2 linked regions of the Sus scrofa genome follow. The protein of the gene in region 1 purifies or fractionates together with the protein of each later gene. This does not show direct contact. Links are inferred from orthologs where the notes say so. Each region holds a gene or a part of one and is shown in the gene's direction. Other genes may lie near its edges.

What was found.
Region 2: the proteins of FBL (region 1) and SNU13 purify together in Homo sapiens (affinity purification with mass spectrometry; 5 studies listed by BioGRID and IntAct, with this or other methods). This does not show direct contact. The link is inferred for Sus scrofa from reciprocal best matches to the Homo sapiens genes FBL and SNU13.

What each region holds. Positions count from the first base shown.
Region 1 is NC_010448.4:48,321,988-48,330,038, reverse strand, and holds the start of FBL (rRNA 2'-O-methyltransferase fibrillarin), read left to right. Parts: upstream 1-3,605; 5' UTR 3,606-3,724; coding exon 3,725-3,734; intron 3,735-8,051.
Region 2 is NC_010447.5:6,894,814-6,902,120, forward strand, and holds the end of SNU13 (NHP2-like protein 1), read left to right. Parts: intron 1-1,354; exon of another isoform or gene 1,355-1,489; coding exon of another isoform or gene 1,490-1,492; intron 1,493-3,218; coding exon 3,219-3,339; intron 3,340-4,000; coding exon 4,001-4,263; 3' UTR 4,264-5,213; downstream 5,214-7,307.

The sequences.
Region 1 (8,051 bases):
GGCCGGTGGCTACAGCTCAGATTCGACCCCTAGCCTGGGAACCTCCATATGCCGCGAGTGTGGCCCTATAAAGCAAAAAATAAATTTAAAAAAATTTTTTTTAAATGATGGGTGAGGAATCAGGCTGGGTGGTGAGAGTAATGTGGTCACGAGATGGTAAGAGGGAAAGGAGCTCAGCCTAATGGCTCGTTGGGGCCAAAAGATCCTCGGAGCAATAGGTTTAGGGGGAGTGAGCTGGACAGACAGTGAGATGCATGGTACTGAGCTGCAGGGGCTGCAGTTTGGGGATTTGGCGGTCTGGGGATGGGTCTTTCTCCTCTCTGGGCCCAGGACCTTGGGGCTGCCACAGGCATCATTGTGTCCCCAGCAAAATCTAGGGGTGACTGTGGGAAGGGGTGAGTGGAAAACACGACTGCCAGACGGAAAAGGTCGAGGCATCGAGAGGGCAGACTGGTCAAAGGATCATCTCTCTGGTTTTGGAAATCGCCAAGAATCATGAGGAGAGCGGCTCAGGTGGCAGTGAACCTGGAGCTAAAAAGATGCAGTGAGCTGCAGTCACCTGGGAGTTGATAGTGCGGGTAAGAAGAATGGGAGCAGGGGCTGTGGATAAACTTCCAAGTTAGGGGCTGAGGGAGGAGGCAGAGAATGGTTTAGAAGTGGCCACGAGAAACACAGAGGGTCTTATCCTTTCAACAGGCCCAGTGGGCACGAAGGCTGAGGAGAAGCCTCTGCTTAGAAGGGCTGCATGGAAAGACACATCTTCAGGGGAGAGCTAGGCTGTGGTCAGAGCAGCCAGGTAAAAGGAAGGTTCAGAGGGAGGTCCTGTTGTGGTTCAGTGGGTTATGAACCCAACTAGTATCCATGAGGTTGCAGGTTCGATCCCTGGCCTCGCTCAGTGGGTTAAGCATCTGGTGTTGCTGTGAGGTGTGGTATAGGTGGCAGACACGGCTTGGATCCCCCTTTGCTGTGGCTCTGGCATAGGCTGGCAGCTGTAGCTCCGATTCAACCCCTAGCCTGGGAACCTCCATATGCCGCGAGTGCAGCCCTAAAAAAAAAAAAAAAAAAAAAAAAAAAAAAAAAAAAAAAGGCAGAGGGATCTGAAGATATAGGGAACATCTGGAAAAGCCCTCAGTGCCTCCCCTATCCCATCCCTGACCATTCTGCCTATTTCTCCCCCATCCTGGCCCTGTTCTCTCTACAGCTGCCCCTGTCCAGGGACCAGTCTGTCTGTCTCCCTCACTGGCCTGGCAGCTCCAGGAAAACTGGTCTCTTTCAGTCACCATTGTGTCCCCAGCACAAAACCAGCAGGGATCCCCCCCACCACCAATTATTCACTGGTAGTGCCAACTTCAGGTCTGCAGTGCCAGTTAGCAGGTGAAATGTATCAGAGCCAGGAGATGGTGCCAGGATTCCAGAATACAGTCTGTTGAGTATTTTCCTTCTTTAGAAAAAAAATTATTTTTAATGGGAAGGCAACAATAAAATCCCTAAGTAGTAGGTTTATCCTGAATTGAAGCCTTTCAAATTATTACAAAGCTCCTGGAAATCCAGCATAGACTCAGCAGATGTTCCATCTTAACATTTTTAAAAAATTTCAGGAAAGTTACTGTGCGGCTGGAATCCCCGCACAGAGAACTCAAGATATCATAGGTTCTGGAGTTCCCATCATAGCTCAGAGGTAATGATCCCCACTAGTATCCAGGAGGATGCAAGTTCGATCCCTGGCCTTGCTCAGTGGGTTAAGGATCCAAAATTGCCATGAGCTGTGGTGTGGGTTGTAGATGCGGTTCGGATCTGGTGTTGCTGTGGCTGTGGTGAAGGCCGGTGGCTGCATCTCTGATTCTACCCCTAGCCTGGGAACTTCCATATGCTGCAGGTGTGGCCCTGAAAAGAAAAAAAAAAAAAAAAAGACAGCATAGGTTCATTCAACATAAATTAGCCGAGCACCCACTGTGCCAGGTTGTTCTAGGTATAAAGTGACACAACAAGGAACAGGACAGACCAATGGATTCTCCTGGAGGTTGTTAATAACTTCTCATAGTACCACTCTTTTTTTATTTTTTCTTTTTCTGTATTGTATTGTATTGTATTACATTGTATTGTATTTGCTTTTTACCCAAGCCACAGCAGTGACCTGAGCCGCTGCACTGACAACTTGGGATCCTTAACCTGCTGAGCCACAAGAGAACTCCAATGCCACTTTTTTGTTTTTGTTTTTGTCTTGTCTTGTCTTCTTGCCTTTTCTAGGGCAGCTTCCCGCGGCATATGGAGGTTCCCAGGCTAGGGGTCGAATCAGAGCTGTGGCCACCGGCCTACGCCAGAGCCACAGCAACTTGGGATGCGAACCACGTCTGCAACCTACACCACAGCTCACAGCAATGCTGGATCCTTAACCCACTGAGCAAGGGCAGGGATCGAACCCGCAACCTCATGGTTCCTAGTCGGATTCGTTAACCACTGCGCCACAACGGGAACTCCCACTTGTTTTGTTCTGAGGAACAAATATATAGGATGCATATTCAAGTTATAAAATTACAAAGCACAAATTTCTCAATACTTAGGCAGAATCTGCTCACTCCTCACCCCTTCCTCTGCCTGCATCATGATCCATTGCAGCAGGGCCCTCATTGGTCTCCCAAACCTATTCCTTCACTCAGTTTCCCACATACAGCCAGGCGACCCAAGTGAGATTATATCCCTTCTTTGTTCAGGAACCTCTTTCTCTCTCAGAGTAAAAGCCAAAATTATCACCCTAAAGCTCCATACAATTTGCTTTGTCGACCTCCCTACCCTCATCTCCTCCCCCTCTCCCCAAGATTACTCTGCCCCGACCACATCCCTCACTGTTTCTGCAACCCTCCTTACCTTTCCTGCTTCAGGGCCTTGGCACCTGCAACCCTTGCTGCCTGCGTTCTCTTCCCGCAGATAGAACATGCCTCCCTCCTCATCTTCTTTCGCTCTTTGCTCAAAAATCACCAGATGGGCTCCCTGACCACCGGGTAAGAAATTTCACACACTGTCCCCCACTCCCAACACCAGTCCCTATTCCCTCCCTGCTATTTTCTCCAAAGCACTTACAGCCTTCTATCATTCAACAATGATTTTTACTAACTATCATTCAACAATGATTTTTACTAACTCGTTTGCTGTTTGTTTCCCCCACTGCAAGATGAGCTCCAGGAGGGTGGGGATGTGTCTGTCTTGTTCTCTGCCATATTTCCAAAGCCTAGAACAGTGCTTCGTACATTCAGGCGCATAATTAGTGCTTTTCAAATGTATGAATGCGAGTCCAGAGTTGGCCCTTGTTCTTGGGGGTGAAAATGGATTAGGGAAGGCTTTGAGGTGTAGAGGGAAACTTAGGGAGTTAATCAGGAATAGAGAAGAGGAGCTAGGGTAGCCCGTGCGAAGGTTTGGAGACCTGATTACTGGGGTGCTTGCACAGGTGGAGAGGAAGCGGGAAGAGTGTTCAGGCAGCAAGCGCTGCACAGGAAAGGCGGTGCCAGCGGCGGTCGAAGAGGCGGTACCGGGAGGGGCTCGGGAATCCCCGCCCACAGCGCGCACACAAGCCATGGGCGGGGCTGTGGCTCCGAAGGATGGGGTCTGCGTGCTTGCGTCACGCGCCGCACGTCGCCGCGCGCCTGCGCTCCTTTCCACGTGCGTAAACCCGGGACGCGTGGAGTCGAAAGAGCCTCAGATTACTGAGTAGCGAACCTCTGTGCTCGCTATGAAACCAGGTACGGGCCGGGGTTGGGATCGGGGGTCTGGGACTGGGGCCTGGTGGGGATCGGGGTGCCAGTCCGGAACGAAGGGGTATGGTGGTCTTGGCCTGGAGGCAGGAGTTCTGAGCCCCGGATCCGGTCTCTTGTGGGGAGGGGGGTCTTGGTTCCGCTCTCCGGTGTGGGTGAAGGGGGCTCGCTTTTGCATGGTGATTGAACTTGAGCCCGGGGTTCGGGTTCCTGGTCTGGAGCTTTGTGACTGGCTTTCCCGAGGTCACAGTCGTGGGTCGAGGGTCTTTGGCGTGGGCTTGAGGAGGGTTGTGTCTTGACCTGGGATTCGTTTCATTGAAGCTGTCGTTAGAGGTCTTGGATGTTGGCCCGGCGGCAGCAATCGCGAATACTAACCCAGAATCCAGATCCAGGCATCTAGGGTCTCGGATCTCTGGGTGTGGGATTTGGGAATTTGTCCTGGTTCGGAGGCGGAGAGTCGCTGATTCGGGGGTCCGAAAGCTGGGTCTGAGAGGACCAGGTATGCTCCTGTGTCGCCACCGCTACTGCGGTACCCTTGGCCCCAACACCCAGCTTCTCGGAGAGGGCCGGCATGGATGGATTCTCCCGGCTTGGTAGTCTCTCTGGCCCATTTTCCCGCTCTCCACTTACCAGAGAGGGGCGGGTCCCTGAGGATGGAGATCCTGGGCCTAGTGCTGATGAGAGATGAGATGAAACTTGACAGCCCAGTATAGGATTAAAGTGGGGGGGGGGGCGCGTAATCACGGAGCATGAGTGTTTTTATCCATTCCGATCTTACTCGAGATTTTGATGAACCCAGTGCATCTCCCTCTTGGTCTAATGATGAGAGTACAGGCTTTGACAGCAGAAGAGCCTCCGTTCAAAGTTTCAGTCCTCACTATGCTTAATTTACTGTGTGATCTGGAGCAAGTAAGTGACTTTCTCTCTCTGAGCCTCTGTTATCTCATCAATGAAAAATGGCACCCAGCTCTAATTTAGTGAAATCATGTTAAGAAGAAATACCGGGAGTTCCCATCGTGGCGCAGTGGTTAACGAATCCGACTAGGAACCATGAGGTTGCGGGTTCGATCCCTGCCCTTGCTCAGTGGGTTAAGGATCCGGTGTTGCCGTGAGCTGTGGTGTAGGTTGCAGACGCAGCTCGGATCTCGCGTTGCTGTGGCTCTGGTGTAGGCCGGTGGCTACAGCTCCGATTAGACCCCTAGCCTGGGAACCTCCATATGCTGCGGGAAGCTGCCCTAGAAAAGGCAAAAAGACGGAAAAAAGAAAAAAATCAGCACCTGCTGACAGTCATTTCACAATATACCAGTATCAAATCAACAGGTTGTATGCCTTGAACTTACACAACGTTATATTATGTCAACTGTATCTCATATAGCACAGCCCTTGACATATAATAGTATTGGCTCCAATTGTTATCTTCTTAAGGGAAATGAGATTATGGTCCTTCTTCCTAAGTCAGGCCAAGCCCCTCCCTGTAACTTGGTTCCCTTGGAGTTGGGGAAATCTTCTATCCTGACCAAAAGTTTTTGTTTTTTTTTTTTCTTCCTTTCCAGTCCCCCCTGACCCCAGCCTGTGGAGGGATGGGGTCATCTGGAGGTGTCGGGGGGAGGGGGAGGCTGTTTTGTGGGTCCATGCTGCCTCCCAAGTTCCCTTTCTCTTCTTCAGTGTTTGGGGATCTACTTGTGGAATGAGAAGTGCCAGGAGGGTGTCTCCATGAGACCCTGGTATGCCTGCAAGCATCCTGTGGTCTGATTACCCCAGGAGTGGCGCAAGATACACCTTCCTTCCAACCCCTCCTTCGCTGTATTAGGCTGTAAAGTTGTAGAAATTGTCAGGAGTCAGCTCTTTAGCAAGGAGTTTAATCTGGTTGAGAGAAGAAGCCTTTGGGAGATTCTGAACCGAGACATGATGTCAGTCAGACTTGACTGAGACATTTAAAAGGATCCTTCCTGCTTCTGTGTATAAAAGATTTTAGGAGGGGGAGTTCTTGTCGTGGTGCAGCGGAAAACGAATCTGATTAGTATCCACAAGGATGTGGGTTCGATCCCTGGCCTCGCTCAGTGGGTTAAGGATCCAGCATTGCCGTGAGCTGTGGTGTAGGCCAGCAGCTGTGGCTCGGATTGGACTCTTAGCCTGGAAACTTCCATATGCCACGGGTGCAGCCCTAAAAACCAAAAAAGAAAAAAGACTTTAGGGGAACAAGAATGAAAGCAGGAGGAGTTCCCATCGTGGCGCAGTGGTTAACGAATCCGACTAGGAACCATGAGGTTGCGGGTTCGGTCCCTGCCCTTGCTCAGTGGGTTAACGATCCGGCGTTGCCGTGAGCTATGGTGTAGGTTGCAGACGCGGCTCGGATCCCACGTTGCTGTGGCTCTGGCGTAGGCCGGTGGCTACGGCTCCAATTGGACCCCTAGCCTGGGAACCTCCATATGCCGCGGGAGCGGCCCAAGAAATAGCAACAACAACAACAACAACAAAAAAAAAAAAAAAAAAAAAAGAATGAAAGCAGACTCATCAGTGGGAAGTTGGTTGCTGTCATCTACTAGGAGATGATATGGCTTAGGCCAGGGTGGTAGCAGTGGACCTGGCTGACAAATTGTCACCATTTGGGAACATATTTTGAAGATAGAGCCAACAGCTTGTATGCAGGTGTGAGAGAAGGGTCAAGGACAACTGAGGGTTTGGGCGTGTGTAACTGGAGGGGTGGAGGTGCCATCTTTGAGAGGGAGAAGGCCCGAGGTGGAGAGCAGTTTAAACTGGGGGTCTGTGGACCATCCACCCAAAACTTCTAGAAAAAGGTGTGTGAATGTGTGTGTTGTTCAGTGCATCTTTCTAAGAACCCAGGACCTGAAATGGATTAAGACATATTTCCTCACAGTGCTTGCTGAATGCAAGTGATTTAAAAAGGAGACATCTGGGGTTATGGCATAAATCCCCTTTATAATCGCTATGAGTGGAATTTTGTTATTGTTATTGTTAGATCTGTTTGAACTGTTTTAATACATGTGGCCTTGTAATTTAAAAAAAAAAAAAAAGGCTGTATTTTGAGTATTGACTGGATCCACTGTGGCCCATGCCGGGCCTGGGGCCTGGGTTACCAGTCTTTACACCCAGTGGCTTCTCCCCTAAGTAGGGAGGAGGAGGGATTTATTCCCCTGAGTTTGAATAATGTATTCAGATGGTGTGCCAGGCAGTGTATTAAGTGAAGTGCTTTGTGGGTACTGTCATTTAATCTTTATGACTCTATGAGGTGGGCACTGTGTAAGTTCCATCTCCATCTTGCCAGTGACTTTTTCAAGACTTGCCTGAACCTTCCCTCCTCTCTAGGGTTATGAATGGCGTGGCCATCTCCCTGTATTCAGCACAGGAGCTGCTTGAGGGGAGGGACCCGGGCTCTGGTCACCATCTGATCACCTGCCTCCTGAATGGACAGAGAGGGTGCTTTCTTCAGGAGACAGAAACCCAGGGGCTGAAGTCATCAGCAGACAGCTCCTTTAATATTGATCCCCAGCGGGGTTAAGGGTCTAGCATTATCTCTGCTGTGGCTTTAGTTTGATCCCTGGCCCAGGCACTTCTTCCCCACGCTGCCAGCCTGGCCAAAAAGAAAGAAAAAGAGAAAGAATTATTTGGAGCTGTGGGTGAAGACTGCAGCAGCTCAGATTGCTGCAGAGGTGCGAGTTGGATCCTCAGCCCAGCACAGTAAGTTAAAGGGTCTGGCGATGCTGCAGCTGCAGTTCCAATTCGGTCCCTGGAACTTCCCTAGGCCCTGGGTACAGCCATAAAATTTTTTTTAAATAAATAAAAATATTTATTGAGCCCATACTTTGTGCCAAATGCTGTGCAGGGTGCTGTGGGTATAGTGATGATCCAAACAGACATCCCTGTCCATTCGCAGCTTGATTCTAGTGGGGGAGGCAGGCAGTAGTAATTTCTCAAATGTCACGTGTGATCCTTGCTAAGAAACAGCAGAGTACAGGTCAGGTAGCCCGAGAAGGCCCTTCTGAGGAAGCAGCGTTTGCTCAGAGGCCTGACTGCAGTGGAGGGGGCAAGTCAAGCACCTGTCCTCAGGACCCAGGGAACAGGAGACACATTTAGAAACTGGAGAGTGAGTTCCTTCTTGGGGAGGAAGAGCAAGGAACCCAACTTAGAGCGAGGTCAGAAAAGTCAGCCAAAGCGAGCGTGGTGGAGGTGGTTCTCCTTTTGGGCTGCACACAGTAGTCACCTGGGGAACTTGAAAAGGCCCCCTGCCCAAGCCCCCACCCCAGACAATTACATCAGAATCTCTGGATAACAGGATCGAGCAAG
Region 2 (7,307 bases), on another chromosome or scaffold:
AAATAAATAAGGAGTGATAAACCTGAGACATAATCTGCAGATATTACAAAGAAAAGCTATATGAATAACATGATACCTATAAATATGGAAACTTATATGAAATGAACAAATACCTGAAAAAATACTCAAAAGCAGTTCAAGTAGAAATAGGAAAGCTGGATAATAGTAAAGAAACTAATATTGTGTGTTAATTATAACTTAGTAAGAAACAAATTTTTTTGACATAAAAAACTTCACACCTACTTTTGTTTTTATTTATTTTACACCTACTTTAAAAAATGTATTGAGATAATTTTGCACACCATAAAGTTCTGCTATTTAAATTGATAATGTATCAAATAATAGTGTGCTTTGGAAACTAACTTAATGTTGTAAGTCAATCCTATGTCAGTTTTTGTGTGTGTTTATTTGTGTCAGTTTAAAAAAAAAAAGATGAGTTCCCGTCGTCGTGGCGCAGTGGTTAACGAATCTGACTAGGAACCATGAGGTTGCGGGTTCAATCTCTGGCCTTGCTCAGTGGGTTAATGATCCGGTGTTGCCGTGAGCAGTGGTGTAGTTTGCAGACGCCGCTCGGATCCCGCGTTGCTGTGGCTCTGCCGTAGGCGGGTGGCTACAGCTCCAATTAGACCCCTAGCCTGGGAACCTCCATATGCCGCGGAAGCGGCCCAAGAAATTGCCAAAAAAAAAAAAAAAAAGGTGGTAATAGGAAAAAGTAAAGTGTTTAACAGCGGGGTTTTTGTATATTTACAGAATTGTGCAACCATCATTTATTAAATTTTAGGGTATTTTATCTCAAAAAGAAAACATGTCCATTATAGAATAAAAACAGAAAAATCTTAAAGTTGGCTTTATCTCTAGAGTGCAGAAATGGTGTAACATCAGAAAAAATTTAAAAGTCTTGTTCATCCAACTCTACAAAAAATCTGGTCGAGTTCAACACCAATTCATATATAAAAGAAATTCTTAGTACACCAGGGAATAAAATAAAATAAATTTTCTTAATCCAAAATATCTAGAAGTAAGCCTAAAAGATATTAAAATTTTTCTAGAAATAACACTTTAGTTAAGAGCACTAAAGGGTTAAGTAAATATGTTTAAATGCATTGACGGATTCTGTATCCTAAAGAGGTTTTTACCTAAATTGGGATTATTTCAATCTACAAATCAGACTTCCCAGCAGGTGTTTTTTGTGGACCTTGAAAAACGGATTCTAGAAAATATGAAGAACAGATAATAAGAGGTCTCCCCCCTCTTCTTCATGAAACTCCTCCAGTCCTCACCAGGCTGAGACCGTGACAGTCACTCTGTTGGTGTTAGGGACTGGGTGCCTTGGTGCCGCAGGTTCCTGGCGTCACTTCCGCTGACGTCACTCTGACGTCACTTCCCGCTGCTCTGCGGGTGGTAGTTTTTCTGTTCTTGAGGTATCGGGTATCGGGCATCGGGCCGGAGACCAGCCAGAGACCAGGCAGGCGACACCGAGGCAGACCAAATGGTAAATATTCCTACCCGGCCATCACCCGCGGGTTACCGCCTGGAACCGCGGAGCCGCGTGCCGCGTGCCGCGGTTACCTCCTCCAAACCCGTCGTTAGACCGCATCACTGCGGGCGAACTGATCGGTGCTCAGGGGTAGTAACCGGGGCTGCAGTTGGAAATAGAAATAAATATTTGTAAAAGGAATTACAGGGAAAGCAAATGAGAAATTAATAAAAATGGTTGAAGTCGGAGGTGAAAATGTAGTTGGGAAGGAATGGAAAAGGCTGGGCGCCACTCTTTTTTTACCATACGCATATTATTTTGAAAGAGATCCAATGAGGTAGCATTTTATCCATAGGTATTACAGTATATGTCTACAAAATAAGGATTTTTGTTCCCATGCAATAGCCCCAAATTTAATAATTCCCTAATATCAAATATCTAGTGTTAGAATCAAAGGCTAGATCAGATTTTTTTTCTTAGCTACTGCCCCCACCCCACTGCTTGATCATGGATGTTTTGTTCTTTAGGAGGGGCCGTGGTCACATGGTATCTTTTGTGACGTTGGTAGTAATATCAATGTCTGAATCTATTTATCTGGTTTAATTAACTAGTTAGTGTGGGTTGCAAGATGATGATGTTTAATTGAATCATTCTTTTAAGCACTGTTAGCTTGATTTTAGAACCACGTAGACTTTTTAATTTTTAAGAATTTTTTAAAGCAATCTGAATACAAAGGAACCCTAATTGTATATCACATTGATAACCACAAGGAAAAAATTATTTGAATAACTTTTGAATATAATACTCTGACTGGATGGCTTTAGTCAGATATATTCTAAAAATAAAGAGAAATTTTCACCCTGGTGGGTTGGTAGTTGGTGGAGGTAGTATTGGTATAGCAATTTCTGAAATCATTTTATATGTATTATAGTGTAAAATAAATGAGAAAATTTTTGATGTTTTGGAAACCAGGATTCTTTTTTTTTTTTTCTCTCTTTCTCTTTTAGGGCTGCACCCATGGCATATGGAGAGTCCCAGGTTAGGAGTCAAATCCAAGCTAAAGCTGCCAGCCTATACCAGAGCCACACCACCAGATCTGAGCCATGTCTGTAACCTACACCACAGCCACAGCAAGGCTGGATCCTTAACCCACTGAGCAAGGCTAGGGATCAAACCTGCATCCTCATGGATACTAGTTAGATTCGTATCTGCTGAGCTACAACGGGAACTCCAGAAATCAGGATTCTTAATGAATACAGAAGATTCAAATATGGAAGGAAGTAGAATTTTGTGCTAGGTTTCTATAAATGATACATTAATTTAGGTTTAGTAAATTCGGGGTGAAACATGCAAACCCAAATTTCAAGATTGGCCCCGCGTGACTGAAAGGGGTTCTGAGCCATGGAAGCATGTTATAATCCATTTGCTATAATATTACCTCGCATTAGGCTAAAGAGGCAAAGGTACATAAGCTTCAGAATATATTATTAGACTATGTAAATGCTAAAAAAATTAGCATAATATTTTAGTTTTTCTCAGTTGAGAATGTGTCAGTTATTAAATGTGTTTGGGAATGAGGGAACAGGGAAGATGACCATTATCTCAATTTGTCAAAAATTACTATTAAAGTATAGTTGATTTACAGTGTCGTGCCATCTCAATTGTTGATTAAAGTATTTGTGACTTGTCTAGAACAACTTCTGGTTCAGTTTGACTCATGCTTTGATTCCCCTCCCCATAGACTGAGGCTGATGTAAATCCGAAGGCCTACCCTCTTGCAGATGCCCACCTCACCAAGAAACTATTGGACCTTGTTCAGCAGTCATGTAACTACAAGCAGCTTCGAAAAGGAGCCAATGAGGGTAAGGCAAGCAGAGGGTGCTCCAGGAAGCGTGTTAAGCGCACCCACTGTTCCTGTCGGGGGTCTCTGGACTAGATTTCCAACATGGAAAGAAGGCTGGATGGTCTTCATGGGGACCAGTGCGAGAACTTAAGAGCAGCAAGTGGTAATCCTTGGGCTGGCACTGGGTCACAGAGATAAGCAATCAGGCGTAAGCAGGTGAACAGTGCTGTAGGGTGTTGAATTTGCTTGGTGAGTTGCATGTGGTATAAGCTTTCCAGATTTATTGATCTTGGCAGATGGGGCTGGTAAAGCCCCTGATCTTTAAGAGTTTCAGATGTGCTCTATCACACTGCTTCATGCTGGCGGGGCTTGTGTGAACGCTGTTCCCGTCAACCAGGCAAGAGACGGTGGTGACTTGGATACGTGTGGTAGCAGAGGATGGGAAAGGGGTCTGATTCAGGATGTGTTTTGACAGAATTGATGGGTTTGGTGTTGGGTTTGAGAAAGGCGTTGGGGATGACTAAATTGGTGCTTGAATCCCTGTCACTTCCCAAGGCCACACAGGACACAGAGAAGTGCTTAGTCCTGGAAATTTTGCCCCGTTTTCTTATTTCTTTTCCTCGGAAATTCCCTGCCCCAACCCCACATCACCTGTGAGCCTAATGTCCTTCTCTCCACAGCCACCAAAACCCTCAACAGAGGCATCTCTGAGTTCATTGTGATGGCTGCAGACGCGGAGCCCCTGGAGATTATCCTGCACCTCCCACTGCTGTGTGAGGACAAGAACGTGCCCTATGTGTTCGTGCGCTCCAAGCAGGCCCTGGGGCGAGCCTGTGGGGTCTCCAGGCCTGTCATCGCCTGTTCTGTCACCATCAAAGAAGGCTCACAGCTGAAGCAGCAGATCCAGTCCATCCAGCAGTCCATCGAACGGCTCTTAGTCTAAACAGGTGGCCTCTGCCACACTCCCTCCTGGCTCCTCCCCCAGGGCTTGTGTATCATATTGTCTGTTAGCATGTAGTATTTCCAGCTGCCTTCTGTTGTTATAAAATATTGTAGTGCTAAATCTAGTTTTTGATTTGTTTTTGTCTTGTTTTATAGGTTGTCATCCCTTCCCCACCCCTTTTCCTTATCTCCCCTCCCCTCTCTGTCATCTCATCCTCCCTTTTGGATGGTGAGCTAATGCCCAGAACAGCTGGAAGCAGGGTGGTGACACCATTCAAAGGCAGGGAAGAGCCCAGATAAGAGGTTTGGTTCCAGCTTTCAGGCACCAACTTCCTACTGTGCAGAGTTGATCCCACTTTGTATCCTTTGTGCCTGGTATACAGAATCACTGCAGACATGTTTGAACGATTGAGGGGTTTCCTCTGCTCTCTAGGGCATTATGTATCATTTGGGGAGGAAGCATGTATTCTGTGTGATTGTTGGGTATATGTCCTAAGTGTTATTTGCTAATGTACCCCTACTGTTTGCTTTTGGTAACGTGATGTTATATTTCACCCCACCTCCCACCTGTGCCCCTGAGGGTGGCAGGGCAGCAGCATACCAAAGAGATGCGCTGCAGAATTCCAGAGGCAGCCTGGGTGGGTGGGACCTGGGATAATTGACCTTGGTCTTGAAGGCATGGCAAGAGATTCTGGAATGAAGGATTCTGGGCCAGTCAGGGAGAACTGAATGGAAGCTACAGCAGAGATGATAAAATCCGAGAAAACATCCTTTCTTTGGTGAAGAGATTTCTTCAGTGGACACTAGGTACCAGGTCTGAGGGCCCTTATGCCGATTTCCCGCCACAATGTGGGTCAGATGTATGTATTTTCTATCACATCAGAAGAACCGTGCTAATGTGTCATTCCTGTGAGCATCCTAATAAATACATATATAGATACCCAAGTGAAAGAAAGAGTGTGATTCTTCCTAGGTACCCAGCTAATACTTGAATGAAGCATCATTAGAGTGGTTAATAGTTTTTCGAACTTTTCACAAGGAAGCCGTGGAAAAGCCATCACCTCCACTAGGTGATTTCTGGTAGTTCAGAATGTCTTGTGCAGACCAAATCATTGAGGTGTTACTAGAACAGGATTTCTCAACCTCAGCACTCTTGACATTGTGGGCTGGATAATTCTTTGCTGTGGGGGCTGCTCTGTATATTGTAGAATGTTTGGCAGCATCCCTGGCCCTTGCCCACTAGATGTCACTAGTAATCTTCCACTCCCACAGACATTGCCACGTATTCCCTGGTGACAGTCACCCGTGCTTGAGAATGTGTAGCCCTCTGCACATTCTAGAGAGTGGGAGCAACTGGTATTAAAAGCCACTGCCATCTCACCTACCTTTTTATCTCAGGCCATAAGAGTTTAATACCTCCTCTGCCAGAGTACACATAGCTAGGTACCGAAAGGTCAAGCTAATGAGAACAGATGATGTGTAGCTTCCTCTTGGCCAGCTTGGGCCAATGTGACTACTCTACAAGGAGGTTCCTAGGGCATCTAAAGGCCTGTTCTGTACCCACTGGGCTAGTCATCTCCCTCCACTCACGCCAGTGTTTATATACCCTCCACCCCACCTCCCACCCAAGCAGTTTTATACTGTCGATGGTGGAAAAAAGACTGAAATAATTTCGGGGTGGAAGGAGATGAAAAAATCCAACCTCAGAGTTCCCTGGTGGCTCCCTGGGTTAAGGGTCCAGCATTGTGACTGCCATGTGGGTTCAATCCCTGACCCTGGAACTTAGGCATACCGTGGGTGTAGCCAAAAATAAGTCCAGCCATGTCTGCAGTGGGCATGTGCAGGCCATCTCTCCTGCTCAGGGGCAGCAGGTCACCACCACCTGGTGGACTGAAACATGTCTGCAGCCAGAGCATTTAAAAGGCCAAGAGCTAGTGCCTACTGAGCTGGGTGTCCATCTACGTTTTCTCATTGAATTTCCCCTATTCTGCGTCATTATTGTTATAAGGAAACTGAGGCTTGAAAATGCCAGGTAAACTGTCTATAGTCATTTGTTATTTATGTGATGGAATCATGTGTGTTGTGTATGTTTGCAGCATGGGAAGTTCCCAGGCTAGGGGTCGAATCGGAGCTGTAGCCACTGGCCTACACCACAGCCACAGCAACGCGGGATCCGAGCCGCATCTGCAACCTACACCACAGCTCATGGCAACGCCGGATCGTTAACCCACTGAACAAGGGCAGGGACCGAACCCGCAACCTCATGGTTCCTAGTCGGATTCGTTAACCACTGCGCCATGACGGGAACTCTGGCAATGCCGGATTCTTAAAGCACTGAGCAAGGCTAAGGATCAAACCCACATCCTCACAGACACTATGTCGGATTCTTAACCCACCGAACCACAACAGGAACTCCCAGAAGTTTGCATCGTAATGTGGCATGAAGAAGTTCCGTGGCCAGGGATGGAACCTGCACCACAGCAGTGGCCAGAGCCACTGCAGTGACTGCCAGATCCTGAAGTCACTGCACCACAAGGAAACTCCACAACCGAATTATGTTTGAAGATGATGTTTCTCTCCTGGGGAATTCAAGCAGAGAAGGCAAGCATTATTTATTAATTTACAGAGAAACTGAGATCACACAATTGCCGTTTATCACAGACCTCGGTGGTTGTCTTTCTAACTCATTCACACTGAAAGGTGTTTTGTTTGACCCCTGAGCTCTTTCATTCTCTCCATTTTGTAAATAGAACACAGGAAAAGGAGCCTAGACTTGGGTAAGGTCCATGCATAGGTTTCCTCCTCAACAGCTAAGAAATCCAGGGTTAAAAACAAAGGCCCAGTGTGGTACTTATTCTTACCCTCCTGCTTGTGGAGATTAGCCTGATTCTAATCCCCCTTTGTGGTATTAGTACCCACCTCTGGAACCCAGAATTTCCAAGCACTTAAGGGGGATGGTCTAATTTCTCAACAACTGAAATGAACTTACTATATCAAATGGTTTTGCATTATTCTGCTGTATCCTCAAAGGCATCCCTTCTAATT